Drosophila melanogaster: one gene and its partners. Changing the gene in region 1 together with any one later gene gives a genetic interaction. Each region holds a gene or a part of one and is shown in the gene's direction. Other genes may lie near its edges.

Region 1 (10,170 bases):
TTTCTTTCTTTCTAGAAATATATCCTGGCGTTTTCAGTAGTATATGATGAAATTCCATTGCATATTTTTATTACCCTTCTTAATGGTCTTCCTATAACTGCGTTTATGTTTTTTATGTAATCAGATGCAAAAGATCACCCGTTTCACGGAGGGATGGGAGAAGTCCCTCCGCTACCGTAGCGTCGATGTGAACACGATTGGCGGTCTGCGCACGGTTTTGTTGGCTGACAACCCGGAGATTGGCGACGTGGGCATCCGGTGGATAACCGAGGTGTTGAAAGAGGATGCTTGGATAAAAAGTACGTAGAGTCCGAATAGTGCGATCCATACAGTTCAAATACCCCACAGAAATCGACATGGAGGGCTGCGGCCTGACGGATATCGGGGCAAATCTAATTCTCGATTGCCTGGAGCTGAACACGGCCATTACGGAGTTCAATGTGCGAAACAACGAAGGAATCAGTAAGTTCCTGCAGCGAAGTATCCATGATCGTCTTGGCTGTTTACCAGAGGAGAAACAGGAGCCAGAGTATGATCTCAGTTGCGTCAACGGGCTACAGAGCCTGCCCAAGAACAAGAAGGTCACCGTCTCTCAACTGCTGTCCCACACCAAAGCATTGGAGGAGCAGCTCTCCTTCGAGCGAACGTTGCGCAAGAAGGCCGAGAAGCTGAATGAGAAGCTTAGCCACCAGCTCATGAGACCCGACTCCAATCACATGGTTCAAGAGAAGGCCATGGAGGGAGGATCACAAACGAACATTTCGAGGGAATATGTGGCGCGGAATGATGTTATGCCAGAAGTCATCAAAAAGTGGGCTAGCTCTCAATTCTCAATTCAATGCCTATCTGATTTGAGTATTTCTTCACAGTTCCCAAAGCTACCGCCAGTCGCACTTCAACCGGCTGGTCAACAGTGCGGCCACCAGTCCCGAAGTCACACCCCGCAGCGAGATTGTCACATTGCGCAAGGAGCAGCAGCTGCAACGTCAACAACCCCCACCAATGGAGGTCAAGCATCTTTCCTTGGAGCAGCAAATCCGAAATCTGCGCGACGTGCAGAAAAAGGTGGACTTGGACGTGGAGGAAGAGGAGGAGGAGGAGGAGGAGGAACAGCAGGCGGAGGAAAGTCAATCCGAGTCGGAGCCGCAGAACGAGGAGCAACAGCATTACGAACAGCAAATGCAGGTCCAACGCAAACATCTCCAGGTGCGCAAGGTTCGCAGTGAGATTAAGTATGTGGAAAACAATCCCAAGGAGGCAGCCAAAAAGAATCGCGAGTCCAAGTCGGACCATGAGTTTGCCAACGAGAGAGATGTGAGTAGTATCCACAATATAAATTAACCAGTACTAGCAATTTATTCTCCTGTACGATAACCCATCTTATCCCCACAGTTCAAGCTTAATCCCTCTGTTCAATTCGAGACGGACATTGGCGACAATGTGATGGTCAATCCTGGCCACCGATACGAGGGCGGCGGGGGCGATACGGCCTATGTCTACAACTATGAGCATGAGCAGCAGCAGCAGCCAGTCAAGCGGGGCTACGAGCACGGCTATGTGGTGGGCGTGGGTGACGGATCCCACAGGAGGCAGAGGCAATCTCAACTGGTCGAGGCTTTGGTGCAAAAACGTGTCCCAGGCGCCAGCGATGGACATGTGGCGCAGTTCGTTAGCAATCTGGAACGACAAGCGAATGCTGGTAAAACGGGGAAAAAGCGCCTTAAACCTCGGCCTGAGGACGATCTTCAGGTACCAGTCGGCGACATGCACATGGAGTCGTCGTATATGTCCCGCTCCGAAGAACTCTCCTCAACGGACGTTACGCTGGAGAACTCAGACTACGAGACGGAGGCGACGGACTCCACGTTACTTAGTAGCTCGAAATACTCCTCCATGCATGTCTTTGTGCGGCGCAAGCAATCGGAGTCCATGTCACTCACAGAAGAGGCCGGCGACGGAGATGCCGGCGGTGGTGGAGGCTCTGGCGATTTCGGCGACCAAAATGTCATATCCCCGGCCAATGTCTACATGTCCCTGCAGCTCCAGAAGCAGCGGGAGCAGAGCGCCTAGGGGTCGTGACTTTAGGTTCCTCCATTCAAAATCCCCGCAGCCATTCGCAGCCGGAGCAGCGACACCACAGCTGGCTGATACGCCGAGCAGTAACAACAACAACACCACTACCACCACCATCACACCCACAACAAAGCAGCCAACTCGATTCGATAGGATCCCCACTGGGAGAGCTAAATTTGCAGTCATACTCCCGGGCAGTAGCAGTAGAAAAGGGAACCTGCTCCTTTTTGCACGTCCTGCCATCTGCGAATTCAAGCTGCACCAAAAATGTACAAAAATATACTTTGGTCTTACTAATTTCCATTAAAGATTTATTATTTGTGTGCTCCCTAAGCGAGTTTGTTGGACCTTATTTTCGGATGATTAACCGCCCCAAGTCAAAATGCACATATGCATGATATTGAGTTCTCTATGTGATATCTTTTGATTTATTTAGTCCGTATATTGTGAAATTATAAAATATTTGCGTTCGGTTAAGTTTGCGTTGAATACTACTGATTAAGATTCAATTGGATCAAGTATTTTGAATGTAGTTAAGTTAACTCCATGGTTATTTATTATGTGGAGGTTAGAGGGCGTGCTTAACCGCCAAATCCGTAAAGGGTGCGTCCCTGGCGCTTGAGGGCATAGACCACGTCCATGGCGGTCACGGTCTTGCGCTTGGCGTGCTCGGTGTAGGTGACAGCGTCACGGATAACGTTCTCAAGGAATACCTGTGAATTTTCCGAGAAATTAATCAGTTTTTCACCACTTTCCCTTCGTTTCGCCAGAACGTACCTTTAGCACACCGCGAGTTTCCTCGTAAATCAAGCCAGAGATACGCTTAACACCGCCGCGACGAGCCAAACGGCGAATAGCAGGCTTGGTGATACCCTGGATGTTATCACGAAGCACCTTACGATGACGCTTGGCGCCCCCCTTTCCCAATCCTTTGCCTCCCTTTCCACGACCAGTCATTTCTCAGTTGCTTCGTAAAGTTGGCTGAAAAGAAGAGAAGACGCAATAAACTGTAAAGCGACGCCATGTTTGGTGAAAGGTAAACGTTCATTTGACAGGTGAAAACTGTTGTTAATAAGTCTGTTTTCATACAAAATAATGGTCTCCAATTATTTTTTTTATGTTTATGCACAAAAAAACTTTGTTGACCGATTCTTCTATTATTTACTTAAATTTCTCAGCAACAAAACTCACTTCAAGAAATCTCCAGAAAATTGCTTGTGAGCGTGACCAGATCTCGCACACCTCAAAATACCTTTCGCAAAATGCGCGTATCTAGTATTTCTATTGTCTCACTACCAGCCCTGGTCAGTTATCGCCTATCGGCCATCGCTATCGCCGCCCCGTTGCGACAAAAAAGATTTAATCGAACCGAAAGACGTGCTCGCACTAAAATCGCTTGAAAACAGGCCCGCAGACCTGCGAAAAACGAAAAAGTGCAGCGCGCATATACTTTTTCAACTGTGCCCCTCTAGCTTAAAATTAAGTCGCGGCGAAAAGTCGAGTAAAACCCGCGGAAATGCGCATGCAAACGGCGTGTGGCCAGCAAAATCGCTGCCAAGGCACCGCACACACACTCGGCCACCCACACATACACACTTAGTGCTGTACTCGAAAAGTGCGAAGACAACAGGAACTCTGTGCCAAAATAATATTAACAGTACCCAGTTATTCCATTCCACTGCACCTGTCCCCGAAACATCGAAATATTCGCGTTACGTATACGCAACGAGTGCTGTAAACAAGTTTGCACAGGCGATAACAATGTCCAAATACGATCTGCTTTATCTAACGGCGCAGCTAACGCTGGGTATGTATTGCACTGCGAGTGTGTGGGTGCATACTTATTGGCGCCTTAATTCCCAGTCGCTTTATTATGTACATATGTACATAATATTATATTTTGTCTCTGCCTTACGATTTTCCTCTGTAATGCAAGCCGACTTCGATTTATAACCATTCGTGCGTGTGATTTTTGATGATATGGGGTGCGTAATGCTATTACTTTATTAATATCACATGGCGCTTGAAAAGTTCATATATAGGGTGTATAGGCTTTGTGATAGCTTTGTCCTATTAACCAACACATCAGAACATCTTAAATTTTCAGAAATTAGGTATAACGAATGTAAATGCTAGGAATCAAATCTATTTGTGAAGTGAATAATGTATACACTAGATACTCTATTAAAGCACCAACAATTGTACTACACAAATGTAGTAAAATATCGTAAGAATTGTTGACAGTGGGTACTACGAATTCATATGTTGAGCGCCAAACGCATACTCGGTATAAATCGATCGGATACCTAATTCCCAATCTTAATCCATGTGTGTGTGCGCTGAGCATTTCTTTGAATGGATTTTGCTGCATTAGGAACTTGTTGTATGGCAGGTTCTGGTTTCTCCCACCCTTTTGCTCCACCGGCCTCCCTCTCTTTCGCTCGCCATAGCCCTCTCTCTTTCTGTGGCGCAGTGCGCTCTCTTCCCTGTTGCTGCTGTTGTTGTTGTTGTTTCTGCTGCTGCTGTTTCCTTTTTCCGCACAAGCGCCACTTTAAACCCATCCCTTTCTGTGTGCATAATGTGCCTGCTTATGTATCTACTTTACTATAAAGCATGCACGCTTACGAACACACACATACATGGCCAGCGATCCGATTACCTAAAGGACAGTGGGACGAAAAGTGTTTCAAAGGATTGAAAACAGTTTGCTTAGCCAATGGTCAAGAAATATCAATCAATATATCGCAGGCTCGTTGCAATAAACGTTTTCAAAATTAAATTTTTTGTATTTACACATTTAAAAAGTGAATTATCATTTTAATTTTTATCAACAAAAATTTCGGTATTTGGATGAGGATCCCAGATTAAATCGAATTAAAGAATGTAAATAGATTTTCAAGAAACCTTACTGCAGGCCCACTGTGCACTGCATATCCGTGCATTGGGGCCATGCCCACTCAAAGGCTGGTGTGTGGCCAGTGGGGCTAATTCCGTGCCCAAATGGGGTGGCTTTCAATGGCAGAGGCCCCAGCTTAGGACGCTACTCCTGCTACTTCTGGGCATGCGATATGTGTACAAAGGATAGCGCCCACAAAGAGCTCGCTGAGCGCCCTCCCTTTCAGTCTTATTCCCCAAATAGGCTCGACTTTATTTGCCCACCCTTTGAGCACTTCCAACCGATAATTCCATTAACTTTGATCTTTAACTACGTTTTAACTTTTTGAAAGTCTTTACTCATGTTTTAGGACTGCTCAAATATATACTTTAAATATAGATCAGTGCTAATCTAAAACTAGAAAGATTATTAATCTATTTTCCCATTGTCTTCATTTAGTCTGCTGTCTGATTGGAATCCATGGATCTATTTTGCCCGGAAGTCATGGGATCATAGAATGCGAGCACTTCGACGAGAAGATGTGCAACACAACGCAGCAATGTGAAACACGGATAGAGCACTGTAAGATGGAGGCGGATAAGTTTCCCAGCTGCTATGTCCTTTGGTCGGTCAACGAGACAACGGGTGAGCCGTGCAGAAGTTGACGTTGTTTCAGGCATACTGATTAATTTTAATTTTTCCGTTCCCATAGGCATCCTGCGCATCAAGATGAAGGGCTGCTTCACGGACATGCACGAATGCAATCAGACGGAGTGCGTGACCAGTGCAGAGCCACGGCAGGGAAACATTCACTTCTGCTGCTGCAAGGGATCGCGGTGCAATTCCAACCAGAAATATATTAAAAGCACCACGGAGGCAACCACACAAGGTGGGTTCGGATCCGGTTTCGGATTCAGATTCGGTTTAACGTTTGCTGCTACTGGGGTTTTGTCTTTGGAGTGTTTACCCCAATTTTGTTATTTTTCCGTTTGCATATATTTTTTGTTTGTTTTTGTTATTTCGTTTTTTTTTTTTTTTTTTGTATTTTTACTGCATCTTCAAGTTGCAAAAAGAGGGCGTAGGCTTCGCCTACAAAATACCACTCCTCGCATCCGAGGCAGCGTTTTTCGTGTTAACGAACTCTTGACGCGAAGTGGCGCCCGCTCCCCCATCATTTTCTACATCCCCAGCCTCCAGCAACCCCTTTTCGGAGCCGCATGTGTTGCAATTTCTGCCCTCCTGTGCACGTTCGCTGGTTCGTTTTTATTTTTATAGTAAGGTACTTCTTTAGCGATCGGGTATAATGCGTTCGCTTTAAAGGATGCAACTGAAAGAGGTAGTTATTTGGTATAAATCCAATTTATTTCACTCCGATTATGAAGGCTTAATAGGATTAGACTCTACCTATTTTGAATGATACTTAATTGGCTTGCAGCCTTAACCCACAACGAGGAGAGTATCTGTTATCTAATACCAGGTATACAAGTGTCGAGTGACTTCATTCTAGCATCCTTTCTTGTTTTTATTTTTGGGGTGTTGCTGCTGCCTTTGACTTCGAAGCCCTGTGCTGCCAGGGCGTCTTTTGTGCCCTGCTCTTTGTTGTTTTGTTCTTGGGCCTAGCTCGCTTTTATCTCGAAACAAAATGAGGGGAAAAAGAGATGCGAAATTGGGGGCGAACTTTCGTTTTTTAGTTTTCGTTTTGCCTTTCATAGCAACCCCAGCAGCTGCAGGTGCATGCCGCCACTCGAGATGTTGTTCACCTGTGGCAAGGCAGCGTTTAAAGCCCTCTTTAATGTTCGTTCCCGTGTGTGTCCTTGTATCGTTGCAGTGCCCAAGGAGAAGACGCAGGACGGCAGCAATTTGATATACATCTACATTGGCACCTCCGTTTTCAGCGTGCTCATGGTCATTGTTGGCATGGGCCTTCTTCTCTACCGACGCCGCAAGCAGGCGCACTTTAACGAGATACCCACGGTACGTACATATCCTTGTGATGTTGCCGCAAATATATAATTTTAATTATGCAAAATTAAACCCTTTAGCACGAGGCTGAGATAACAAACTCATCGCCATTGCTCAGCAACCGTCCCATTCAGCTGCTGGAACAGAAGGCCAGTGGTAGATTCGGTGATGTGTGGCAAGCCAAGCTCAACAATCAGGATGTGGCCGTCAAGATCTTTCGCATGCAGGAAAAAGAATCGTGGACCACGGAGCACGATATCTACAAGCTGCCGCGCATGCGCCATCCGAACATCCTCGAATTCCTGGGCGTTGAGAAGCACATGGACAAGCCGGAATATTGGCTGATATCCACCTACCAGCATAACGGATCACTATGCGACTACCTCAAATCGCACACGATCTCATGGCCAGAGTTGTGCCGCATCGCTGAGTCCATGGCCAATGGACTGGCACATCTGCACGAGGAGATCCCGGCATCAAAGACCGATGGGCTAAAACCATCGATAGCTCACCGAGACTTCAAGTCTAAGAACGTACTGCTTAAGAGCGATCTGACGGCCTGTATAGCTGACTTTGGTTTGGCCATGATATTCCAGCCAGGCAAGCCCTGCGGCGATACACACGGTCAAGTAGGCACTCGACGTTACATGGCCCCAGAGGTGCTTGAGGGTGCCATCAATTTCAATAGAGACGCTTTCTTACGCATAGACGTCTACGCATGCGGCCTAGTCCTCTGGGAAATGGTGTCACGGTGTGACTTTGCCGGACCCGTCGGTGAGTTCCAGCTGCCTTTTGAGGCCGAGCTGGGCCTGAGGCCGTCGCTGGACGAAGTTCAGGAGAGTGTGGTAATGAAGAAGCTGCGCCCTCGTTTGCTCAACTCCTGGCGCGCCCATCCGGTGAGTGTGACTTCTGATAATGCTTTTAGTCAATGAAAATAACTTGTAACTTTTTTACAGGGACTTAATGTATTCTGCGACACAATGGAGGAGTGCTGGGATCACGACGCTGAGGCTCGTCTTAGCTCTTCGTGTGTGATGGAACGCTTTGCGCAGCTAAACAAGTATCCCTCAACCCAGTTGCTAATCAAGAACCACACCAACATTGACGACGCCAAGGAATCTACGAATTGCTTATAGAAGCGGTACTAAGCCACAGACCAGCCAGCGGATCTGTGGCTCTGCAAAAAAATCAGTTGAAGCTTTTTGCTTCGTAGTGGATAGTTGATCGTCGAGGTCGTAAGACGTTTCGTTTTTAGTTTAATAGTTTGTAGTACCATTATAAGCAGCTATAGAATGGGTTGATTTATACGAAAGAAGTCGTGTAAGATGTAACTTTTCCTAAGGGAAAAGCCAAAAGCTTAACATGCCAACGATTCTTTGTTATTATTTTCTTTAAATTATAAATCGACTCATTCGATGTTAACCCGAGTTCTTAAATCTGTTGGAAATGAGTGGAAACGTACACTAAGCAACTTTGAACAAAGAGCATTAGCTATGTCCAGAGACGTGGTAGTTGCTAATCCGACATTGACTTCATTGACTGATAACCATATATAGTTCTATATAAATCATACATATAACGTACAATTTGTTTTGCCCTCTGGCAGTAGCCTGTGTGCATATGTAAACTGTTGAAAATTATCGTCAAGCCTTTTAAAGTATAATTTTATTTGTACGTTATCGAATGTCTTCATATAGTAGTAGTTTTATATTTAAAGTTATTTTCAAAATAGATTTAACAATTTTAGTTTACTTTTTAGTTGTAACGTTTTTATTTCGCGCTCAAACGTGCATGCGTTTTAATGTTGTATTTTAAATAAAAATACTTTAAACTCCATCCTAACCATCTGATTTTTTATTATTTTGTCTGTTTTATATTTCTGCTTTTGATTTTTATTTTTTTATTTCCAAAACGTAGTGCCAATGACCCTCAGAAATCGCGTAAGCATAATAAATGTGTAATTATGTAATTGTATTCTAATTCTACTGGACAGTACAAGCAACACCTGAAGTTTTCAAAGGAAAGTTTCTTTTTAACAAGAATCTAACTTAAGCGCATATACATAAATTATAAAATATAAACTATACTCTTTATATATACACACAACACATACACGCATAGGCATACGGAACACACGCAGTCTAGCAGGTTTATATGAAGCACACGCTGCGACTCATCGTCAGCATAAAATCTAAACAAAAAAAAAATCAAAGTTAATATTCAACCCAAGAGGTATGCACACACTGTAAGAAATTAGAGCTAAACACAATGAGTAAGTATGTTAAACATTGTTAAACGGATAGTATGTCTTATAATGTTAGCCAAACAAGGTGTATGTCGAGCTATAGTTATTTAAGCTATAGTTTAATTAAGAGAGTCTTGGCGGAATGTATTATCTTTCGGGTTATTTGAAACTTTTTTGCGCAGCATCAGTTCTTATCAATGGCTAAGCATCTGAAATACTTCTGGATTATCAGTTAAGATATCAACTAAACACGATACACAACACAGAACAAAACGAAACAAACAAAGCTTCATTACCTGATTTTTTTGAGCAACTTACAACAAAAATAGTTTATTACGCAAACAAACAAAAACCAAACGACATAATCTTAATAATAGAACGAATTTTGTTATGCTGTATTTAATTTGTATATTTTCCATTGGTGCTGAAACATCATTACGACGAACATAATGATAATGAAGATAATAAGAAACGAATTCAAAAACAACCAGTATTTAAAGAGCGAAGGAATAAACAATTAATATTTAATCATAGTAGTTTGTTACATATCAGATTGCTAAATGGGATAGAGGAAGATAATATAAATCGATCATTTCAAAAAGATTTGCAGAGAAATTTTTATAGCATTATACAAGGCAATAACAAGCCAACAGCAATTTTGGTATATTTTTTAATGCATTTCATAAGTAAAACCAAAACGAGTTTATAAACAGTAAATTCATAAGAAAATCTTTTTAAAACACCCCATTTTCGAATATCATCAGCAAAGTTTTATAAAAACCAATATGCGAAAAACATATACGAGATGATAGCAAGTCGTGTTAAGAAGTTTACGATTAAAAAACGATCTTTGATAATAACGGATTTAAAATAAAAATGCAACTGTTTAATAAACAATTCATCACCGGTTTTTCCTTAATAAAAATCGACTCTATTCCAGCTTTCTTGCCACTTTTATTACAATTGTCTTCCGTAAACATTCAGACCTTCTGGATTATATAATTCAACAATACAG
Region 2 (7,202 bases), on another chromosome or scaffold:
ACTTAAACGTCGAACCAGTTTTTGGTGAATGAAAAGCCAGCAAGCCCAAAGTTGCACACAAACTCCAAACTCAAAGCAGAAGAAACCCGAAGCGAAGTACCAGAAAAGGGGGGCCCCCACTGAAAAGGGGCAGCCTGGCAGCTAAAATATAATAAAAAGAAATTAAAATAAAATTCAAAAATGTGCAAAACGAGACCGAGAACGAGAAATGCTGCATGCCAGTCTTCGGGCATGAGGGAGCGGTACTGGAGAAGAATCTCCGTGGAACCTGTTGGACCAGTCACACACACAGGCAGGCACACCAACAACCGAATGCCACCAACGTGTTTGTGCCAGGATAAAAGGCAAGCCGGGTCGCTCCATGGGTATATATATCCATCTCTTTTCGACCCGCTCCGGAGGATTTCAAGTGTAAAACGCTGTCGCTTGTGGAATGCGCGCACACACACAAACACAAGCGGATACAACTGCATAGATAGCCCAACATTTGGCCATATTTTGCTGCACTAAATCAAGCGTTTAAACGAAATTCGAGTTGGGCCAACAAGCCAACGAGCCGAGCTAAAAGCGTTCATATTTTCCCGATCGCCAAAAAGAAGCACCATAATTTATAGATGCCGTTTGACTAAATTCGTTTAATTCCAGTCCTACCTTTACCCACACACCTATATAATATATATGCCTACGGTTTACCTGTGCGATACAAAAATAAGGAGGAAAAAAAAACGGAAAATAAGGCGAGAGAGCGAGAAGTAAAAGGGTTTTGGTTTTGGTTTCGGTTTCGGTTTCTTTGGGACCTTCGCTCTCATCGATCGTTCCGTAGTGTACATTATAATTTATAACTTTATCTAAACGATGTGGTGGTGTTTAATTTTCGACCTCACCTTTTCCAGCTCGTTTTTGTTTTTTGTTGCCGTTTCGCCATCCCATCACCATCATCATCATCATCATCATCACGGTTGTTTCTGATGTGGATTCGTTTCATTGGAGAACTGTTTCCGCTTCGCATGACTCACTTTTCGCTGTTTGCCCCGGGGTCTTGAGTCTTCTCCTTTTTTTTTTCTTATTTTTTGGGAGGTCTTTCTTTATCGCACACTAATTTGAATAGGATTCCATTTCGTGATGAACATATCACCGGGAACGGAAAACATCCATGGGGGGTGGGAGGGCGTTTGCGCCCAGCTGGACGCCCGCAACTGACCACCATGAAGTTCCCGCTGCCCTGGCTATATAGTATCTTGTTAATGAAGAAATAGATACACAGACGCCCCGAGACGCCTAGGTATTTAAGATCGAGGTCGGTGCCCGCGGGGTGACGAGTGAAAGTCCGGGGAGAAGAGGCTGGTGTGTTCGGGTCGTGCATTGTCTGCCACACCGCTGCAGCCTCAAGACAATCGCTTCGTTTTCGCAAATTGCAAAGGGAAAAAATTAACAAAAGAAAAGAAATGAAGAAAAAAAAACAAACGATACCACCACACGTGCTGTGCGAGGTCATGACACGGCTATCAATTTGAACAGAAACATTTAGCCCTAGGGAAATAGCTGCCAAGCATCTGAGACTCTTCAAAGGCGTGAAATCTGAGCCTGCTCCACGGGTTCATCAAGCCGATCGTAAAACATAGCCTATGAAATAAAATTAGAACTCATTCAGACATCAATTAGAACCGAGCATGCAAATTTCAACCAGCGGCATCGATAAAAGCCCGGATTAAAAGCCACCGGAGCACCCGAGAAGACCACTGTGAGATGGATTGATTTACGTTGAATATGCAAATTGCAGCGAGCCAACGTTGAAAGCTTTTAGAAGAGCATTTCGAGAATTTGAATAAATATTTAGGCCCATCGGACACAGAGAAAAATAATCAGAATCAAGCCAGCTCCTGTGGCAGATGACACGGCCAGGGAAAACTCGAAGTTGGTCCTGAAGAATGCCGGAACCCATAAATAAATGCGAATCACTATTGAAATATATAAAACGAAAACAGGATATGTGTCATATCAAATTTTATGGAACTACGTAGATTCATTGGCTGTCGAAATCGTTTGGCAATCATCGAAGAGAATAGATATCTTACGAAAGCTAAGCTTGCGTTACTAACTTTAATTTCCCCTTTTACTCATACTACATGCTGTTAATAAATACAACATCTTATAAATTGTGGTTGGGCATTCCTTAATTAAAATACTTTATAATATCTAATAAGCATTACAAAGTTTGTGGTTTAGTTCGAAGCTCGTTTTCCAAAACTCTAAAGACTCAAATTAATTAATTCATTTCAGATTGCGCCCTTGTATTACTCATGTATTCTCGGCGTTAACCTGTGAATTAAATTGAGTTCGCATAAACACCTCTATTCATTGCACCACTGTGCCAACATCTGTGCTCGCCGTTCTCTTTTGTTCGAAAGAGAGCGTTCGGATGGTTCTCTTAGCGCCGATTGTCGAGTGCCGAGTGTGGTTCGTGTTCGCATCGTTAAAGTTGTAGCACTCAGGGCGGATGTTTGATTTCGATGGCAAAGTCAATCTGTTCGGGTTTCTCGTCGTGGAAGGTTCGTTGCGCGCGCGGAAAAACTGAAAATATCGGTGCGAAATTCGAGCGGAAAAACGCTAGAAAAGAAGGCGAGTGCATTTCCTCGACCTGAGAACGCCGGTGGCCAAGGAGCTTTGCAATTAAATCTATTTTCGCCGACCTAAGTACACAAAACGTAGGAGAAAATTAAAAAGAAGAAAAAAAAAACAAATCTAATCGCTGGCAAATCAATTGCTAAGGAATTGAGTACTATTCGTTGTTATGTCATGGAAAGTCTCTGAATAAGTTAAGAAAATACTTGTGAGAAATTTAGCGACCTTTCAAAACTAGAAAGTAGAAAAGCAAAAAGTGCTAGACACGCGCTCTCTCTTCGACCACCACCCACCACCACCCACTATCGCCATCCCACGTTTACTACCACGTTTATTGCTCACGCGTGTTTTTGGGGCCTTTTGTTTTGTGCGCTCGTGTTTGTGGCCGTGTGTGCCAGTGTGTGTGTGTGCGTGTTAGCCGGCAAGTGCATTTGTGTGAGTGTGTGTGTTTGTTGCCGCGAACAGCTGTTCACCCAGACAGCATGCAGAAGTAAATACGAAGAAGTGCTGCAAAATAGAGTAAATAAAATAACCGGCTAAAATAAAAATAAGAGAAGCATTCAAAGGCAAATCAAATTTAGCCCCATCATCCACTGTGTCTGCACACAGAAATCACCCATCAAAAATGGCGGCCAGGAGCGTGCGGCTAGCGCAGCTTTTGCTATTTACCCTGCTCTGCGGCTTCGTCGGCCTGTCAGCCGCCAAGCACCTGGACCTGGATGGTATCCACCACCACCAGCACCACCTGCACAGCGCCACCACGCACCACAGACGTCGCCTACAGCGGGACTCGCGGGCGAAGGACGCCGTTGGGGGATCGACCCACCAGTGTGATGCCGTCAAGAGCTACTTCGAATCGATCGACATCAAGTCGAGTGGGACTTACAGCGAAAAAGGTAAAGTTCACGCCATCCATCCGTAGAGTTATAATATCGAGTATGCACTTGGACATGCGGGCTGGGGAAGAAGCGGGGAACGATGGAGGAAGTTAAAGCTACCAATATGGTTAAGGCCCCTTAGGAGCAAACGTACTAACTTTAAACTATGCAGAGGAAAACGTATGTTATTTCCCCAGGTCACTAGAGTGGTTCGAATACTTAAAGTCTAAGTTATCTACTCCATTAAATAAGAAAGAGGTACATAAATTGGGATTATTGATAATGGTTTTTCAATTTAATTACTTTTGCATCCTCTCCGTTTAAAAACATTTCTTTTGCGGGAAATTCATTGCCTTGATTTCAGAGTTTGTCTTAACCCTCGCCTCGCCATCAGTCTTCCATACTTCAACCAAGTAAATCGCGCGTCAGCCAAAGTTTTTGCCATCCCGCAGCTGCAGTTTCTCTTATTTCTAGTCCGTTCTAGACCCCATCCGCTTCTCAATCCCCGCCAGAAACTAGAAGCATATGCAAATTCATTGAACTGAGTGAAACCCTCGAGCGGGCAGCCACTCGAGGCGAACTATGACCACTCGAACAGCCGGGCGCCGTTTGCAATTAGAAGATTGCGCATTGAGCAACGCCTCGGAAAAGTTTTCGACGTGCCGTGGATAAAGTTTTTGGCCGCGCCAGGTTCATTACATATCGGATCTGGCACCTCGCAGATGCAGAGATACATAGATACACAGGCGGCGGCATCATTTGTTATTCTGATTTCTCGACACTGCCATATCAAGTGGCACGCATCTGAGGCCAAACTGTGTGAAGGCTATGGAAGGTATATTTATATTTACCACAGCCGATATCCACAAGATACTCGACATATTTTTGTTTATGCATATTTCATACCCGAAGTCAAAAATAAGACCGAATAACCAAATAATGCAATACAATCCGATAATATCAGTCGAAAACGAGCGAATGTACCCAATATATATCTGTTTCGTGTAATTGAGTGAAAAATAATTATTATTGATTAGCCGACCTTGACTTGGTATTTACGCGTTTACGCACAATTACATGATACACAGCCGCAAACTCGACTGGAATACAAATGTATCTGGCGATGATGTTGCAACTTTTCCCTCCAATGCTTACCTGTCTGCAGAGGTTCTCGGTTCTCTTTGCTCATTCTGTTCAGTCGTTCCCACACGCAGGTAGTTAACGCCAAGAAGAACTATCTATGAGATACATTGCTGAGCAGACCGCATTGCCATGGCATCAAAGTGTGAAGAACCGAATAGCCAACCGAGAGTTGGCGTTACAAGTGCATGTTTGTGTGTCCCAGAGACTTATCCACCTGAATGCCAGAATGCCCAATTGAACTGGTAGCTGGAAGTTATTAGCGCTGGCTTTGAGGAATTTCAATTTGGCTAATGCCAGGCGGCGTATCTCCGATCAGCACCTATGTATGTATCTCTGTATCTCTGGTCGTTGCTCCTGCTTAAGTATGCCGAACCTTGTTTTCGACATTTATTTACTGTTTACATAGTTCCACTTGCGCCTGCCTCCGCCTCCGTAGAATTTATGCCCCGCCAATGTATCTATGTATATCTGTTAATGTATCTGTATCCGTACAGTACGTATCCGTATCTCCATCTATATCTCTTTCTGTTTGCTCTGGAGTGTGTTACTTTTACGTTTATGTGCTGTTTGTGATGCTAATCTCTCGTCGGTGCCATGCATACGATATGTTTCTCCCGATTTGCTTTTGCCGTGCAGTTCCCGGTAGAGGCGCTCGGCATAAAACTAAATTTTAATTTAATTGCGCACACCACTCGACTGCTAATTGAGTTGGCTTTGCTTTTGGGCCAAAAAAAAAAAACAGTATTACTCCGTGCCTATTAAAATGAACATTAACATTGGCGCGTTACAAAGACGCACAGGAAGTCGTAGCTGCAGTATCTAATCGTATCGCACAGTATCTGTATCTGTTTACCTGCAAGTATCTGTAGTATCTGTATCTATGCTTAAGGCATAGCAGTTCCAATGCCCCCGACCGTGTTACTAAATATTTAAGCAACTCGCAACAGAAATTAGAGCAAGCCATGAGATATGAGCCCATGTATCCGCGTATCTCCTCCGCCGGCAAGTGTTTGTGTGCCGCCTGGCTAGATAAGTGAAAAGTGCAAATAGAGAAGGCAAAGGCAAACGTGACTCGTTTGGAGCGGGGAAAACTGCTTAGCAGACAACTTTTCAAACGGATTCCATTTCCCTGACATGTACGTAGGTATGCATACCTGCAGTTTGGGTGCGTGGGCCTACGCTTATGCTTTTGCCATCAAAGGAGCTCATCCTCGAGTAAAAATTTTAATTAACTAGAGAACTGCGCATATGCCCCAATCCCATACCCAAATCATTAGTGGTTAGAGGAAGAGCAGCACAGCTCACTATCGCTCGGCACTGCCAATTAAAAGTTGAAGTTCCATTCCATGTGAGATGGCAAATGGCATAGAACTCCACTTAAGGCTTAACTGCCAACATAAATGTGCCAAATTTCGACTAAGCGAAATTCGTCAAAAAGTAGCAAAACCCATCAAGCTGAACCAAAAACGATCCATAACACTTATGTCGCGACGATCGTAAAGATCGTCAGCCAAATTCCGATTGCCCGAAACTCGTTTTGTATTTTGTTTTATTCATGAGATACACGTTTTATCCGGAATATCTGGTGGATAATTAAATATTTATTTCTGTTCCAGTTGCAGTCTGAGCTACCCTTTTACTCGATGCCCACCTCCATTCAAGCTTAGAACACAACACTCTCATCCCAAACTTATCTCATCAATTAAGTTCTGAGTTCTTTTCAGTTAAGTTTAATTGCCGACTCTTTCTCCCAATCGATTAAACTCTAAGCCAGAAAAAATTCTTAATTGATTTGGTGCTGGACACAAAACTAATTACGACTGCGTTTTAAGTATTTTACGAAGGTTTCATCCAGTTGCTTAATGGCTAGAAATGAGTTTTCCACTCCGCTTTCCACCGAATCAAGTGGAAATAGTCAATGGGTTCGGGCTTAAAAGTTGGCTTAATCGTCATTCAATGCGGCACGTCTTTGGTTTAATGCCATGGAAAAGCTAAGACGTGGGAAAAGCACTTGGCAATGTCTGTAGAATACGTCTGCCGTCAATAAATCACGGCTAAGGATTTAATGAACTCTACGTTTAGTTTCCTTAAAACTCAATTTAAGTATTTTCAAATTTTCAAAAAATTCAAGCACCTTAAACTTACATCTTCAACTTATTACATTCTATTCTATAGTTTCTTTGTGGCTCATATTTAGTGTACTACCTTAGCCAATGCAATCTTTATTAAGGACAACATTCAACATTTATAAGGCACCATAAAACCATTAAATAATGGTATAAAGCTTAACTATAGATAAGATACAATAAGCCCGCTTCCAACACCTTGATACCCAAAAGTTTATCATCAATCTTAGGAATGCGTTTTACGCTCATATAAATTGAAGGAACCTCTTTTGTACCGAATATTTTAAGGCAAAGGTCTCTACGATATTACGAAATGCCCAAAACTATTTTAGATTTTTTTATATTTGCGCTAATTAGTTTCAATTAAAATTAACGACGCCTATGCCCATCGATTTCACACGCATATAAAAAAGGCGAAAAAGCAAAAAACAGA
Region 3 (6,331 bases), on another chromosome or scaffold:
CTCGTCGGTGGTGGAGTTGGGCACCAGCAGGCCGTTGCGGTTGCCCACGGTGAGGCGGCCGATGATCCGGCAGCCGCCCACATTCGCATGCACCACCGGGATGGTGTCGCCCAGCTCCGCCTCGAAGGCGCTGTAGAAGGTCTCGGATCCACCGATGGCCACCAGGCAGTATGTGTTGGTTAGTTTAGTGAAGACGCCGATGTCGTCGTTGTTCTCGAATTGGACGCGTAGAGCCATTTTCTCTGTATTTACGTGGATCCTCTTTTCCTGCTGGTTACTCTCTTTTCGGATTTACTGGCCTGACTGAGCCTGCTGCCGGATGAGTTCTGGATTCTGTTTATATGTCCGGAAATCAATTTAAATGTCGTGATGAAATTCGCACAATTTCGCTTCACGTGGTAATTTTTTTTTGATGTTGGGACGCCAGAGCTGCATAGCCATCGATTGGCTGCCTATCGAAGTGTGGGTCTATCGATACTCGTGGGTAAATAAACAAGTTCTGAACGGCGATTTCGGGGGTTTGAGGGGTCAATTGTCCCCTGTGTTGGAATGTGTTCCTAAATCTACACAAACACTCCCTAAGCTTATCCTAAACTTATAAATATTGGTTGCTATTTAAACCCCATTTCACGGTTATCCAGCACGCCCCTGAACTGTGACCCACATCCCCGATTTTAGTGACTAGTTTTATACTTATCGTGGTTGGCATTTGGTACACTACACTTTCTTATTCACCTAGATCGCCGACTCCGCGCACGGTCGCGCTCCCGTTCCCGCTCCCGATCTCGGCTGCGACTGCGGTCGCGATCCCGTTCCCGGTCGCGGCGACCGGCGCCTCCAGATCCGGATCCTCCGGCTGGCGCTACTCCGATGGCCTCCCGCTCCCGGGAACGGCGCTCCCTGCGCTTCTTCCGCTCGGATCGCTCCTTCTCGCGTCTCCTGTGCGCCGGCGAGGCGGGACTTCGGCTGCGGCCCATGGCTCCGTTTCGGTCTCTGCTTGTGTGGCGGTTTGAGTGATTGATGATGGTTTGCCTGCAGTGGATTTGAGCGGATGTTAGACTCCATGTACTCCAATTGCACCGCACGCATCCCGCTTACCGTTGCACTAGGCTGTGTCTAGCATTATTTGGGCGACACCGGCGGTGGGTAAAAACGCGCTAACTTAAAACTAAAACCAAATAAACAACGCGCGTTATCTCGCCGCGACGCCGAAACGGAATGAGGAATGCAGAATGCGGATGATGATGCGAGGGATGCGATGCAAGGGCAAAACATGGCCACCTATCGGATATCGATTGATGGTCGATTTTATCTTCGATAAAAATGTATCCTATGTATATCGCATACCGAATGTTTAAATCGATCTGTTTCCTTTTGAATATGAACTATGTATATATATTAATTAATATTTTTTAATAGCATTACCTATATTATATTTCAAATTATGCCCGGACTATGATAAATTTAACAAATTCATAATTACAAATCTTTCGTCAATACCACTTCCATAAATAGTTTAAAATATCAAAATATTACGAACTTTGCCAATATAAACGTTATATTTTCTACATTTACACAGTTTCTTCTTTTTTTTTTTGAAGCTATTAAACCACATATTTGCTCACGATCGCAGCTGAAATGAACTACTATGTTGGATCTTCTAGTTCGATCTTCAAGACCGATTCATTTTCCAAGTCGCGGGACTGCCAACTCCCGCGAAATAGAAAGAAAATGCATCTTGAAGATTAAGATACACACAACAATCCGTAAGTGCGTCAGAATTTTCAGAACCCGCGGTTCGCTGGAACTCTCGAAATAAACAACTAAATGCCACTGTACATCTGAAGCTATCGCAAGTGGATAGCGCCGTAGATATAGAAAAACAGCGATCGCAACCGATCCGTCCAAAACACGAAATAATGTCGGGACTGCGAAACACCTCGGAGGCCGTTGCAGTGCTCGCCTCCCTGGGACTCGGAATGGTTCTGCTCATGTTCGTGGCGACCACGCCGCCGGCCGTTGAGGCCACCCAGTCGGGGATTTACATAGACAACGGCAAGGACCAGACGATCATGCACAGAGTGCTGAGCGAGGACGACAAGCTGGACGTCTCGTACGAGATCCTCGAGTTCCTGGGCATCGCCGAACGGCCGACGCACCTGAGCAGCCACCAGTTGTCGCTGAGGAAGTCGGCTCCCAAGTTCCTGCTGGACGTCTACCACCGCATCACGGCGGAGGAGGGTCTCAGCGATCAGGATGAGGACGACGACTACGAACGCGGCCATCGGTCCAGGAGGAGCGCCGACCTCGAGGAGGATGAGGGCGAGCAGCAGAAGAACTTCATCACCGACCTGGACAAGCGGGCCATCGACGAGAGCGACATCATCATGACCTTCCTGAACAAGCGCCACCACAATGTGGACGAACTGCGTCACGAGCACGGCCGTCGCCTGTGGTTCGACGTCTCCAACGTGCCCAACGACAACTACCTGGTGATGGCCGAGCTGCGCATCTATCAGAACGCCAACGAGGGCAAGTGGCTGACCGCCAACAGGGAGTTCACCATCACGGTATACGCCATTGGCACCGGCACGCTGGGCCAGCACACCATGGAGCCGCTGTCCTCGGTGAACACCACCGGGGACTACGTGGGCTGGTTGGAGCTCAACGTGACCGAGGGCCTGCACGAGTGGCTGGTCAAGTCGAAGGACAATCATGGCATCTACATTGGAGCACACGCTGTCAACCGACCCGACCGCGAGGTGAAGCTGGACGACATTGGACTGATCCACCGCAAGGTGGACGACGAGTTCCAGCCCTTCATGATCGGCTTCTTCCGCGGACCGGAGCTGATCAAGGCGACGGCCCACAGCAGCCACCACAGGAGCAAGCGAAGCGCCAGCCATCCACGCAAGCGCAAGAAGTCGGTGTCGCCCAACAACGTGCCGCTGCTGGAACCGATGGAGAGCACGCGCAGCTGCCAGATGCAGACCCTGTACATAGACTTCAAGGATCTGGGCTGGCATGACTGGATCATCGCACCAGAGGGCTATGGCGCCTTCTACTGCAGCGGCGAGTGCAATTTCCCGCTCAATGCGCACATGAACGCCACGAACCATGCGATCGTCCAGACCCTGGTCCACCTGCTGGAGCCGAAGAAGGTGCCCAAGCCCTGCTGCGCTCCGACCAGGCTGGGAGCACTACCCGTTCTGTACCACCTGAACGACGAGAATGTGAACCTGAAAAAGTATAGAAACATGATTGTGAAATCCTGCGGGTGCCATTGAATTCAATTTACCACTTAGGCTAAGCACTATAGCACTATATATATAAAGCATTTCTGTGTAGATGTCCATCTCTGTACTAATCTCGAATATTTTTATACAAAAATATACAGCGCTGTACCTAACTGAAGTTCGTCTCTTGAGGAGTTTCATTTGTGGCTAGTATTAAAAGATACTTCTTCTTTATTGTCTCACATCTACTCATGATTGGGATGCACAAATTTCAAATATTTCAAAACAACGATGATAGACGCAATGTGGTACTAAAAGTACGTATTTTGATTCTGGTTAGCTCTCATTTAAAATTAACAGTCATTTCACAGCAATAAAAGGCACAATCAAGTCCTATTTGGACTTCGGCACGCTTCTTTGGATCATTCTTAATTATTTTAGGACTCAATTAGTAGGGAAGCAGGCAATATGCGCGAGGAAGCGGGCTTTATCGCTTGTGAATCCAGTGGTGGCGGAAGGCAAACAATTCCATAATCAAGTTGCCGACACGCTTGTCAATTAGCGCCGACATCAGGCGGCCATCAAACACCGGTGTCTGCACATTCAACGACACACACGCATCTCTGAAAGGAGAGCACATTAGACTGGAGTATTCTCCGCAACTTGGATTGCACTTACAAGATTTCAAACACCGGAATGTTGTTTCGGAAGTATTCCTGCAACATAAATACACCATTGACGAATTTGGCTCGACTAATGCTGAGCATCATATCGGGATCCTTTCTATACAGGATCACAAAGATGTGCCGGTTGGGCGTGTCGATGGGTCTGACAAACTTGCCGAGGACACTTTCAATAAAGGCTGGCGTGTTCCTGCTGTGGAACTCCTCGCAGTCGCCGCCTGCGTAGAGCACGAAGAACTGCCTCTCGATGAAGTGCGAATTGAAATGGTGTGGTTTCGACAGCATGTTCTCCTCCACTTCCCGGGCCCAACTGAAGTGGGCGTTAACGGACAGGAGGTACAAGGATGGCAGCTGGGGCGTCGGTAGAAAGGTTATGGGCGGAGGCTTGAAGAAGCCCACGAATCCATCCTCACTCTCGAAGATCTTCGATAGCGTATCAGTCAGCACGGTGTATTGGGAAACTGGCTCGCAGTCTCGGCGCCACATGTCCAGCTCGCTGCAGTGCTTCAGCAAGTCGTGGTACATTTTAAAGAAGTAATACCGCGTGCGCATCACCATCTCCGCCGTAGCCTTGGACATAACCATCCAGATCCATTCGTCTATAAAGACGTTCACGTTGCGATCGGTCAAACTCATTTCACTGTCGCAGATCGGGGAGAGGCGAATCCGTGGATGTCCTAATTAATACAAAATGAATGATAACCAGAATGATATAACATGAAATTCATTCGAGCTTACCCGAGAACATGGCAACAGCCAGAGGAACGACCAGGGTGGCGTAAACAATGTGGCTCTTCTGCCTGTTGCACACAATCCACGGTGTGCGGAAGCTCTGTGCCGAAATATTCAGTGGCTCCAAGAAATCGCGGAGCACGGTGTTCGGATGCATGGAAACGTTCCCGGAGAAGGCCGACTTTAGCGAACTCTTTCTAGTGTCCACGGCATAGATGTTGGGATACATTCCGCCCGTGAGGGCCGCCTTAACCATGTGCCAATTGCAGGACATCTGGTTGAGATTGTTCATCGACAGCTTACCTCGGCTGTGAATCAAATTGGCTGCCCGCAAGGAGCTCACGATCTCGGAACGAATGGAGGTGAGTTGCTCCATCAGGCCATTCAGCATGAATTCATACTCATCCTTAAGGTATAGCGGCGGCGTCCTGTTGTGCATTCGGTTTTGCCACTCCTTGTACAAGCGCACGAAGATGAAGTGATCGGAAAACTGATTGTCGGACAGGTAGGTCCGCTCTTTCTTGATGCTGTTCTGGATGTAGATGGTGAACCTGTCCCACAAGTTGTCGATGTCCTCGGTAAACGGAATGCCCAACGGGTCCGCCGTCGACAGAGAGCTGACAATCGTGAGTATTGGATCCAGGCAGCGCAGCAGGATGCCGAAGATCAGCATGCGGCCGAGTTGACAGGAGACCGGGATGTCCATCAGGCGGCAGCCCAGCCAGGTCACATCCTCGGCGTCATCGAGCACATCTATTTTCTTGAGGAACTGCACGGCATGGTGCACGTTGATCAGCGGTGGCGGTGAGATGGTAATACCCAGATATTCGCTTATAATCGTATTGGGTGAGAGTAGTTTCACCGCCAGGCAGATCTTGTCCAGTTGCATAGTCTGCAGGCTTGGCTGACTGGTCTCGCTTAGCTCCTCGTAGGCCTCCTTGCTTATCAGACGGAAGCATTGTACATCCCCTTCTACGGAAAACGCAGTGCATCAGTTAGTGTTAACAATGTATGACGAGCTATGTACTTACTATTGGGCTGAAGGATTAGCTCCCTTCGCAGAAGAGCGTCCTTGGCCACCCATTCGAAGCGATCATCGCCGCTGCAGCTCGTGGTATCGTAAACATTGTTCAGCCGGCAGGCGGTGTCTATTTGGTACTTGAACGGCACCTTCAGGCAGAGCGATTCGATAATATCCGTGGCCAGAACCACCTTCACCGTCTCATCGCTGGCATTGACCAACGCCTGGAGGTAGTCATTCCTCATGTTATCGTACAGCAGGAATATGGAGCACTCCTGCAGGCTGCCAGTGAGGCAGTGGCTCAGGATCATGTAGTTCAGCTTGACAATGTGGTAGTAGGTGGGTAAAATGATGAGGATGTTGCCTGAAAATAGGAAAAAGGTAGTAGACTTTCTCTCATTCTTTCCACATGGAGGTTAATGATAAAGAGCAGCCTGTGAGCGTTTCGCTTCAAATGGGTTTAATTTATTAAATCTGATTTACAAAGTTACCTATACATAAATAAACGCGGCGATTCCCCATTCGTATAAACTAGGTTTCAAGACAGACACACATTACTAAAATAGATCGATATTACTAAATGGCTTGACATCTTCGACTAAAACTAATATAACTATTCAACAGACATAGGCATGTATGTGTTCTTTCGTGCAGAGGCG
Region 4 (6,793 bases), 2.2 Mb from region 1:
CAGAGCTTTTAATTCTTGCGGCTCTAGGGAGCAGCGATGATCGGAGCCCTTCTGACTCTTGTCCAGCGTAAAGTGGCGCTCCACTATGCGTGCTCCCAGCAAGACGGCGGCCTGGCTAATGATCACTCCCAGCTCATGACCCGAGTACCCAATTGCCACATTGGGAAAGCGTGTCCTTAAGACGGATATCAACTGCAAGCTGCAATCTTTTGGGTCAGTTGGGTACGATGAAACGCAGTGCATTAGAGCGTAGTCCTCTTTTCCTGACTCCCGCATAGTTTGCACAATCCTCTCCACAGTTTGCATAGTCTGCATTCCGGTGGAGATCACCAGGGGCAAGTTCAAATTGGCGGCCTTTTTGAGAAGCGGAAAGTTGTTTGCGTCTCCGGAACCAATTTTGATGAAGGGAACATTTAGAGCAGAAAGGAACTCCAACGATCTCTGTTTAAAATAGCATATACACACATTAATAACTATTTAAGCAAGAAACAAGGGAAAAAAGGAATTGTTAGTAGTAGTAATTGGTTAACAATTAATTAATATCAACCTCATCCATGGCGGAAGCCGTAAAGTCCACATTTAACTCCTTGCAGTGGGCCTGCAGCTGGAGATACTGATCTTTGGAGAACTCCAGGTACTCCTTGTGCTCCCCGTACGTTTTTCCCCAGGCGTGATCACTGATATATTCGCGATCTAGAGCGGATCTCGTAAACTTTGCTGGCAAATCCGATTTTTGAAACTTGACGCAGTGGCAACCGGCTTTTTTGGCCTCCCATATCATTTTCTTCGCTGTTTCCACACAACCTTGGTGATTTTGGCCAATTTCCGCTATAATATAGACGGAATCAACTAATTTTCCGCTTATGATATCGTTTAACAGCATTTTGATTAAATTGAAACCCGCCTATTTAACAGTTAATTAAATGATTAGCGGGCGTAGGCAGGAAATGCATAGAGTATCGAATTATCGATAACAAGACATGAGCACATTTCATACAAAATTTTTACATAGTGTGATTGTTAATATATCTATCAATATATTATTTAGTTTTGTGAGAATTTAAGGGAAATTTGGCATTTTAAATCATAACTCATGTGGAAGTTATTCCAATAAGGAAAATGAATTAACCTATGTTCTGTAAACGAATATTCTTATTGGCTTATTTGAATTTCCAATGTATTTAAATATCCCCTTGTTACCGGTATATCGAATAGCCTCGCCAAATGCATCAGTCTCCCATCTCTTTTCCACAGTAAGTCATGCCAGGCGTGCCTGAGTGCAAGCGGGATGGCTAGTGTCCCCCTGATCAGGCTGCCACACCGCTGAAATAGAGTAACTGGACGCCATGCGTTTAATCGATTACTAACAGCAGTTTCGAGCCACTATAGGGTCGAGAAGACCCGTTTCGAATGAAAATATAAAAGTAGAGCTATTGCGGAACTCTTGCAATGGATTGGAAATGTCCTTAATGTAATAAGAGTAATATTACAGCAACTTCGTTATCGATTATGCACTATATTTGCATGTTATCGATTAGATAAGATGGCGTCTATTATCTGGCCATATCCGCGACTTCCGGCAGTGTGGCAACATCAGCTAGAAGCACACTCGCCATCCCGCCCGCACTCACGCAACAGCATACGAAGAAATTTTCATACTTGTTAGCTGTGAAAAGTATTTAGCAGAAATAGATTTCGGAAATTAAAGATTTCGAGGCTATTTCGGCGCTACCAACGATCGTTCGCGGTAACCTCGACACCCAACAGCAGCACTAGTGCACCAGATCCACACTTTCGCACGCAAACATGGGCGACGTGATGAATATCGACAGCATAATATCGCGACTTCTCGAGGTGCGTGGGGCACGGCCAGGTAAAAACGTACAGCTCTCGGAGGGCGAGATCCGGGGACTTTGCTTGAAGTCGCGCGAGATCTTCCTGTCGCAGCCCATTCTGCTCGAGCTAGAGGCACCGTTGAAGATCTGCGGCGACATCCATGGACAGTACTACGATCTGTTGCGTCTGTTCGAGTACGGCGGCTTTCCGCCGGAATCGAATTACCTGTTCCTCGGCGACTACGTCGATCGCGGCAAGCAATCGCTGGAGACGATCTGCCTGCTGCTCGCCTACAAGATCAAATACTCGGAGAATTTCTTCCTGCTGCGCGGCAACCACGAATGCGCCAGCATTAATCGCATATACGGATTCTACGACGAATGCAAGCGTCGCTACAGCATCAAGTTGTGGAAGACATTCACGGACTGCTTCAACTGCCTGCCAGTGGCGGCCATTGTCGACGAGAAGATCTTCTGCTGCCACGGTGGTCTCAGTCCCGATTTGACCTCCATGGAGCAGATCCGTCGCATTATGCGGCCAACCGATGTGCCCGACCAGGGACTGCTGTGCGATCTCCTGTGGTCCGATCCCGATAAGGATACCATGGGCTGGGGCGAAAACGACCGCGGCGTTAGCTTCACCTTCGGTGCCGAGGTGGTGGCCAAGTTTTTGCAGAAGCACGAGTTCGATCTCATCTGCCGAGCCCATCAAGTCGTCGAGGATGGGTACGAGTTCTTTGCCAAACGCATGCTGGTCACCCTGTTCTCGGCGCCCAACTACTGCGGCGAGTTCGACAATGCCGGCGCCATGATGTCCGTGGACGATACGCTGATGTGCTCGTTCCAAATCCTCAAGCCAGCCGACAAGCGTAAAAAGTAATATCACACAACTGCAGCACCACGAGCAGTCTTTTTCTATCTAAAACAGATCAATAAGAAATCCAAACAAGATACAAAAGATAAACACGACAAAAACAACCACAAACCCAACCACACAATCAACCAGAAATAAAATCCTTTGAAACAACACATCAAATGATGCATGAAACGTAAGTATGGGCTGCTGACGCAGAGTAACAAACTAGTGAATCACACTCTCACCCCAACCTTATCTCTGTTTTTGGTCACTTTTATCATCGGCAGCCGGGGCGAGTCGAAATCCACAAGAAATTGCACCATTAATTTGGTATGGAATAGCAGCGCCACGATCAAAGGACATCCCCAGAGACATCCCTTCCAGCAGATGACTGCAGTTTTCCCCTTCCACCCCACACCCATTGAGATTTAAATCGCAATTACAAACACATTGACAAATACCATGATTAAAAGCCACATATTTATTTGTAATAGCCCCCGTATATATATATATATATGTATATCTACCGACCGACCAACCATTCACCCACGCACACACATGTACACACATTTGAACACCAGCGCTTTTATAGGTTTTGTCCAAAATTTAAACACTAGGTTAATCAACTGACCGTTCGAGCAGAGCACCAAGCGCATAACCATGCAGATTAGATGGAAACGGAGCAGCAGAGGAGCGACTGGACGCCAGTCGGTCACAAAGCATACAGATGTGGGGGCCCTGTAGTGCTCGTTGGCCTTAAGAGTATAGAGCAAGTGAAAACAAAACAAGAAACAAAAAATCGAAGAGGGGAAATCGTTGAACCGAGGAGGTGGAGGCGAATGCTTGCCAAGAAGTATAAAGAGGAATTATAAGCACTAAGTTTCGACCTTGAATCAGTTTTTTTTTTGTTCGTCCACAATGCAGTCCGACCGAATGGACCAGCCAGCCAGCCAGCCAGAGAAATATCTGCAAGAAAATCAGCGAAATATATTAGTTTGTCCCTAAAACTCCTTACCATTCATCAGCTATTCAAACGTCCGCTTCCCGTCATTTTAAGGATGTGTTTTTTAAAAATTAACTATTATTAATATGTATTATCAATAATCCTTTGTATTAATAAACAAATGATATAAAACGTGTATGAATTATGAAACTGATTTCAATAAACACATTTGAAAAATCCATAATACGCTGCATGCGCTCATGCTTTATTTCGCTTTATTTACATGTAAATTCCGGAAAATACTTAACATTTCTTCTAAATGAATGCGTTCTAAATGGGATGTTTTTGTTTTTACGTTTGGTGTGTGCTGGCACGTGCTGCTGTCATCTGAGATCTACTCACTGGAGCCACTGGCTTCAGCTTGGACGGTTGGGCTTGGCTGTGCGGCTTCATCGGTGGTCACCACCGAGTTCCCCTCAATCTGGCAGGCCTCCACAGCGGCAGTTATCTCCGCAACGTCCGCCGAACTTTCGTTAGGTTTCTCCAGCTCAGTCTCGCCGTTCTCCTGCTGCTGCTGCTGCTGCTGCTGCTCCGCCGCCTCAGTGGACTCGGCCACGGTCTGTGGCGCCTCCGTTGCGACCACTACTTCACTTGAAGCCACTGGCTGATGACCCTGGAGCACGTCGGGATTGATGCCGTTGATGATGGCGCGCAGACGCTGGATCTCCTCGTTGGCCAGCTGCAGATCCTGCTGCAGGCGCTCGTACTTGTCGTGCTGGTGGCGCACCACGCCGATGTGGTTACGGATGTAGTCCATGGGATTCTCGGGCCGCTCCTTGATCACGCGTATGAAGAGCTTGGTCAGCGAGTCCAGGACGCTGCCGCGCTCTAGATAGCGCCGGATCTCGTCGCGCTTCGGGTCAATGGGCTGTGTCATTGCGGGAGACTCTTGTTTAGCCAATGGCAATCAGTTTTTGGACAAAAGCTCACCTTAAAGGACATCTTTGCAAAATGGAGATGTGCGGTGTGGCTGTGGGCGCAACTTCGAAAAATGCCAAAGTCAAGCCCCCTTGAAGCCAGGGCTGCGTGCTGCAATCATACGGAACTGGTTCGGTTCCAATTGACTTTTTATGGTTACACTTTTAAAATTCAATTTTTGAAAGTTTAAATGGATTATGAAAACCAGTGTTTTACATTTAATTGATTGTTTTTTTTTTGTTCTGCTCTCCATTAAAAAATATATATTGGTAACTGAGTTCTAGCAGTTGAAAATGTTATATTAACTTTTGAAAATTGACTTTCTCGTTGTAAAGATAATTTGGAAACCACTTTTTCATATTTCGAAAGTATTCAAAATTCGAATATATCGGATTTTTCGAAACTTGCGGCTGAGAACGCACTGCGCATGTCCAACAATTGAATCTCTCACATGTACATGCCCAATTTCCTTGCACTGAATACAGCAATTGTGCAAACGGTTTTTTGAGTTCAACTCGCCAGGAATTCAATTCAATCCAATGATGCACACATTCGAGAACACCTTCATCCGTGGACCATCGCCGTCATATTCCGACGACGCCAACTCGGAGAACGCGCTCTCTGTGACGCTGCCCATTGGAGGAGTTGTGCCGGACTTGGACTTTTGTCGCGACGACTCGAAAACGGATACGGGCGATTACTTCGATGAGAAGTACAACAGCGACAGCTGCTCCCGCCTGCATCCGGGTCACCAGGGACGCAACACGTTCGCCTTCTGGACCATTGTGGTGTTGCTGCTGGTGCTGACCGTTGGCAATCTTCTGCTGACGCTCACCATTGTGGGTGTGCTTCGCCTGGGCAAAGGTGTCCAGGGCATGGAGGTGATACCCGAGGTGGATTTGGTGAAGTTCTACGGTACCACGGACTTGGAGCGCGTGCAGACGAACTCGATTGGCCAGATACACGGCTTCTCGGATGTCCCGGTGACCATCAGCAGTGATGCTGGTGACGGCGAGGGCGGCGTCCATGTGCGCGTCTTCCGCAATGGCAATGGAGCAGCCAGCGAACGCGATAGGATCGTCCTGAACAGGGAGGGTATCCTCGTGCAGGCCACGAACTTGTTCGAGGTCAAGGACCCCGTCGACAAGCAGCCGATTTTCACCACCCATCGTCCGCAGTATAACATTCCGGGCGGAGTGGAGGCGCTGCAGGCCAAAGTGGTTAGTGCCAGCGGCATCGTCAGTCCCATCGACGAGTCCCTGGTGCTGGAGAGCGACGGACGCATGGCCATCAGGGGATCCGAGGGCGTCTACTTCGACGGAGCCAGCGTTGACATGCAGGCCGAGCACCACATTCTCATCAACTCCACGCAGGGCGCCACCATCCTGGAGGCAGGCACGGGTATCTTTCTGGACATGGACCGCATTCCCATCGTCAGCTCCGAGCTGGGTCTCCGCACGGGCAGTGTGCAGTACAAGATTTGCGTGTGCATGCCGCATGGAACGCTCTTCCGGATCGCCATACCCAGGGTACACAACGGACCCAAGATCACATGCGCCCACTTCAGCGGCAAGGACGATCCCTGCGAGATCAACTAAGTGCGTTTGGAAATAAAGTGCAGCGTTACGATTATCGTATCCCTAAAACAAATGTTACGTAGCACTTTTTATTTTCGGAGGAAATGTACACGATTTGTTAGAGCGTAATGTAAAAACCGAATCTAAATTTGCATTGCAATGCGAAGGATGATCCATTTGGAGCTCGGGGCGGGTTGGGTTGTGGCGGGATGATGGGGTTGTGGCTTTAGCTTTGAAAACTAAAAAATTCCGATTGGCCAGATATAATACAGAGATGGCGTTGAATTTGCTTAATGACAATGTACACAATGAGGCGGGCGGGCGGGCGGCAATTCAAATCAAGAATGAAAAACGGATTGGCGCGCGGGTTAGCCAGCGTCCGTCCGGATGGGGGTAACCTAAACACCCGGCGGCGGCGGCGGTGGTGGTAGTGGTGTTGGTGTGAGCGGCGACTGAGCAAGCTGGTGGCGGGTCCTAGACGATCTGGGAATCACGCCTGCCAGATTGTCCGGCACCATGCTAAGAAGCTCAGCTTCACTTAGATGCGCCAAACGGCCTTTGCTCCTCGGCTTCTTCGATGCTACAGGAAAGGAATCGTTGATAC

The links.
Region 2: of put (region 1) and dally, changing one enhances a phenotype caused by changing the other (phenotypic enhancement), as found in Drosophila melanogaster (one study listed by BioGRID).
Region 3: of put (region 1) and gbb, changing one suppresses a phenotype caused by changing the other (phenotypic suppression), as found in Drosophila melanogaster (one study listed by BioGRID).
Region 4: of put (region 1) and Pp1-87B, changing one enhances a phenotype caused by changing the other (phenotypic enhancement), as found in Drosophila melanogaster (2 studies listed by BioGRID).

The regions. Positions count from the first base shown.
Region 1 is NT_033777.3:14,618,910-14,629,079, reverse strand, and holds put (punt), read left to right. Parts: upstream 1-3,376; 5' UTR 3,377-3,834; coding exon 3,835-3,880; intron 3,881-5,407; coding exon 5,408-5,593; intron 5,594-5,660; coding exon 5,661-5,837; intron 5,838-6,776; coding exon 6,777-6,922; intron 6,923-6,990; coding exon 6,991-7,806; intron 7,807-7,866; coding exon 7,867-8,046; coding exon of another isoform or gene 8,047-8,058; 3' UTR 8,059-10,050; downstream 10,051-10,170. Other genes in the region: CG7886 (uncharacterized protein), read left to right, coding at 125-299, 349-811, 870-1,314, 1,393-2,070; His4r (histone H4 replacement), read right to left, coding at 2,655-2,786, 2,851-3,030.
Region 2 is NT_037436.4:8,824,986-8,832,187, forward strand, and holds the start of dally (division abnormally delayed), read left to right. Parts: upstream 1-2,519; 5' UTR 2,520-3,247; coding exon 3,248-3,518; intron 3,519-7,202. UniProt on the Drosophila melanogaster protein: Cell surface proteoglycan that bears heparan sulfate. Functions as a coreceptor for growth factors and morphogens, such as the products of dpp, to regulate signaling and distribution of these ligands.
Region 3 is NT_033778.4:23,849,836-23,856,166, forward strand, and holds gbb (glass bottom boat), read left to right. Parts: upstream 1-1,726; 5' UTR 1,727-1,919; coding exon 1,920-3,287; 3' UTR 3,288-3,412; downstream 3,413-6,331. Other genes in the region: ytr (yantar), read right to left, coding at 736-977; eIF6 (eukaryotic translation initiation factor 6), read right to left, coding at 1-237; bgcn (benign gonial cell neoplasm), read right to left, coding at 3,724-3,859, 3,915-4,596, 4,658-5,623, 5,683-6,036. UniProt on the Drosophila melanogaster protein: Required for the growth of imaginal tissues and for patterning of the adult wing.
Region 4 is NT_033777.3:12,420,702-12,427,494, reverse strand, and holds Pp1-87B (protein phosphatase 1 at 87B), read left to right. Parts: upstream 1-1,577; 5' UTR 1,578-1,806; coding exon 1,807-2,715; 3' UTR 2,716-2,884; intron 2,885-2,978; 3' UTR 2,979-3,874; downstream 3,875-6,793. Other genes in the region: NANS (N-acetylneuraminic acid synthase), read right to left, coding at 1-441, 548-883; CG17202 (uncharacterized protein), read right to left, coding at 4,029-4,562, 4,625-4,636; Scgbeta (sarcoglycan beta), read left to right, coding at 5,152-6,210; pps (protein partner of snf), read right to left, coding at 6,588-6,769. UniProt on the Drosophila melanogaster protein: Is essential for the regulation of mitotic chromosomal segregation as well as regulation of chromatin condensation during interphase.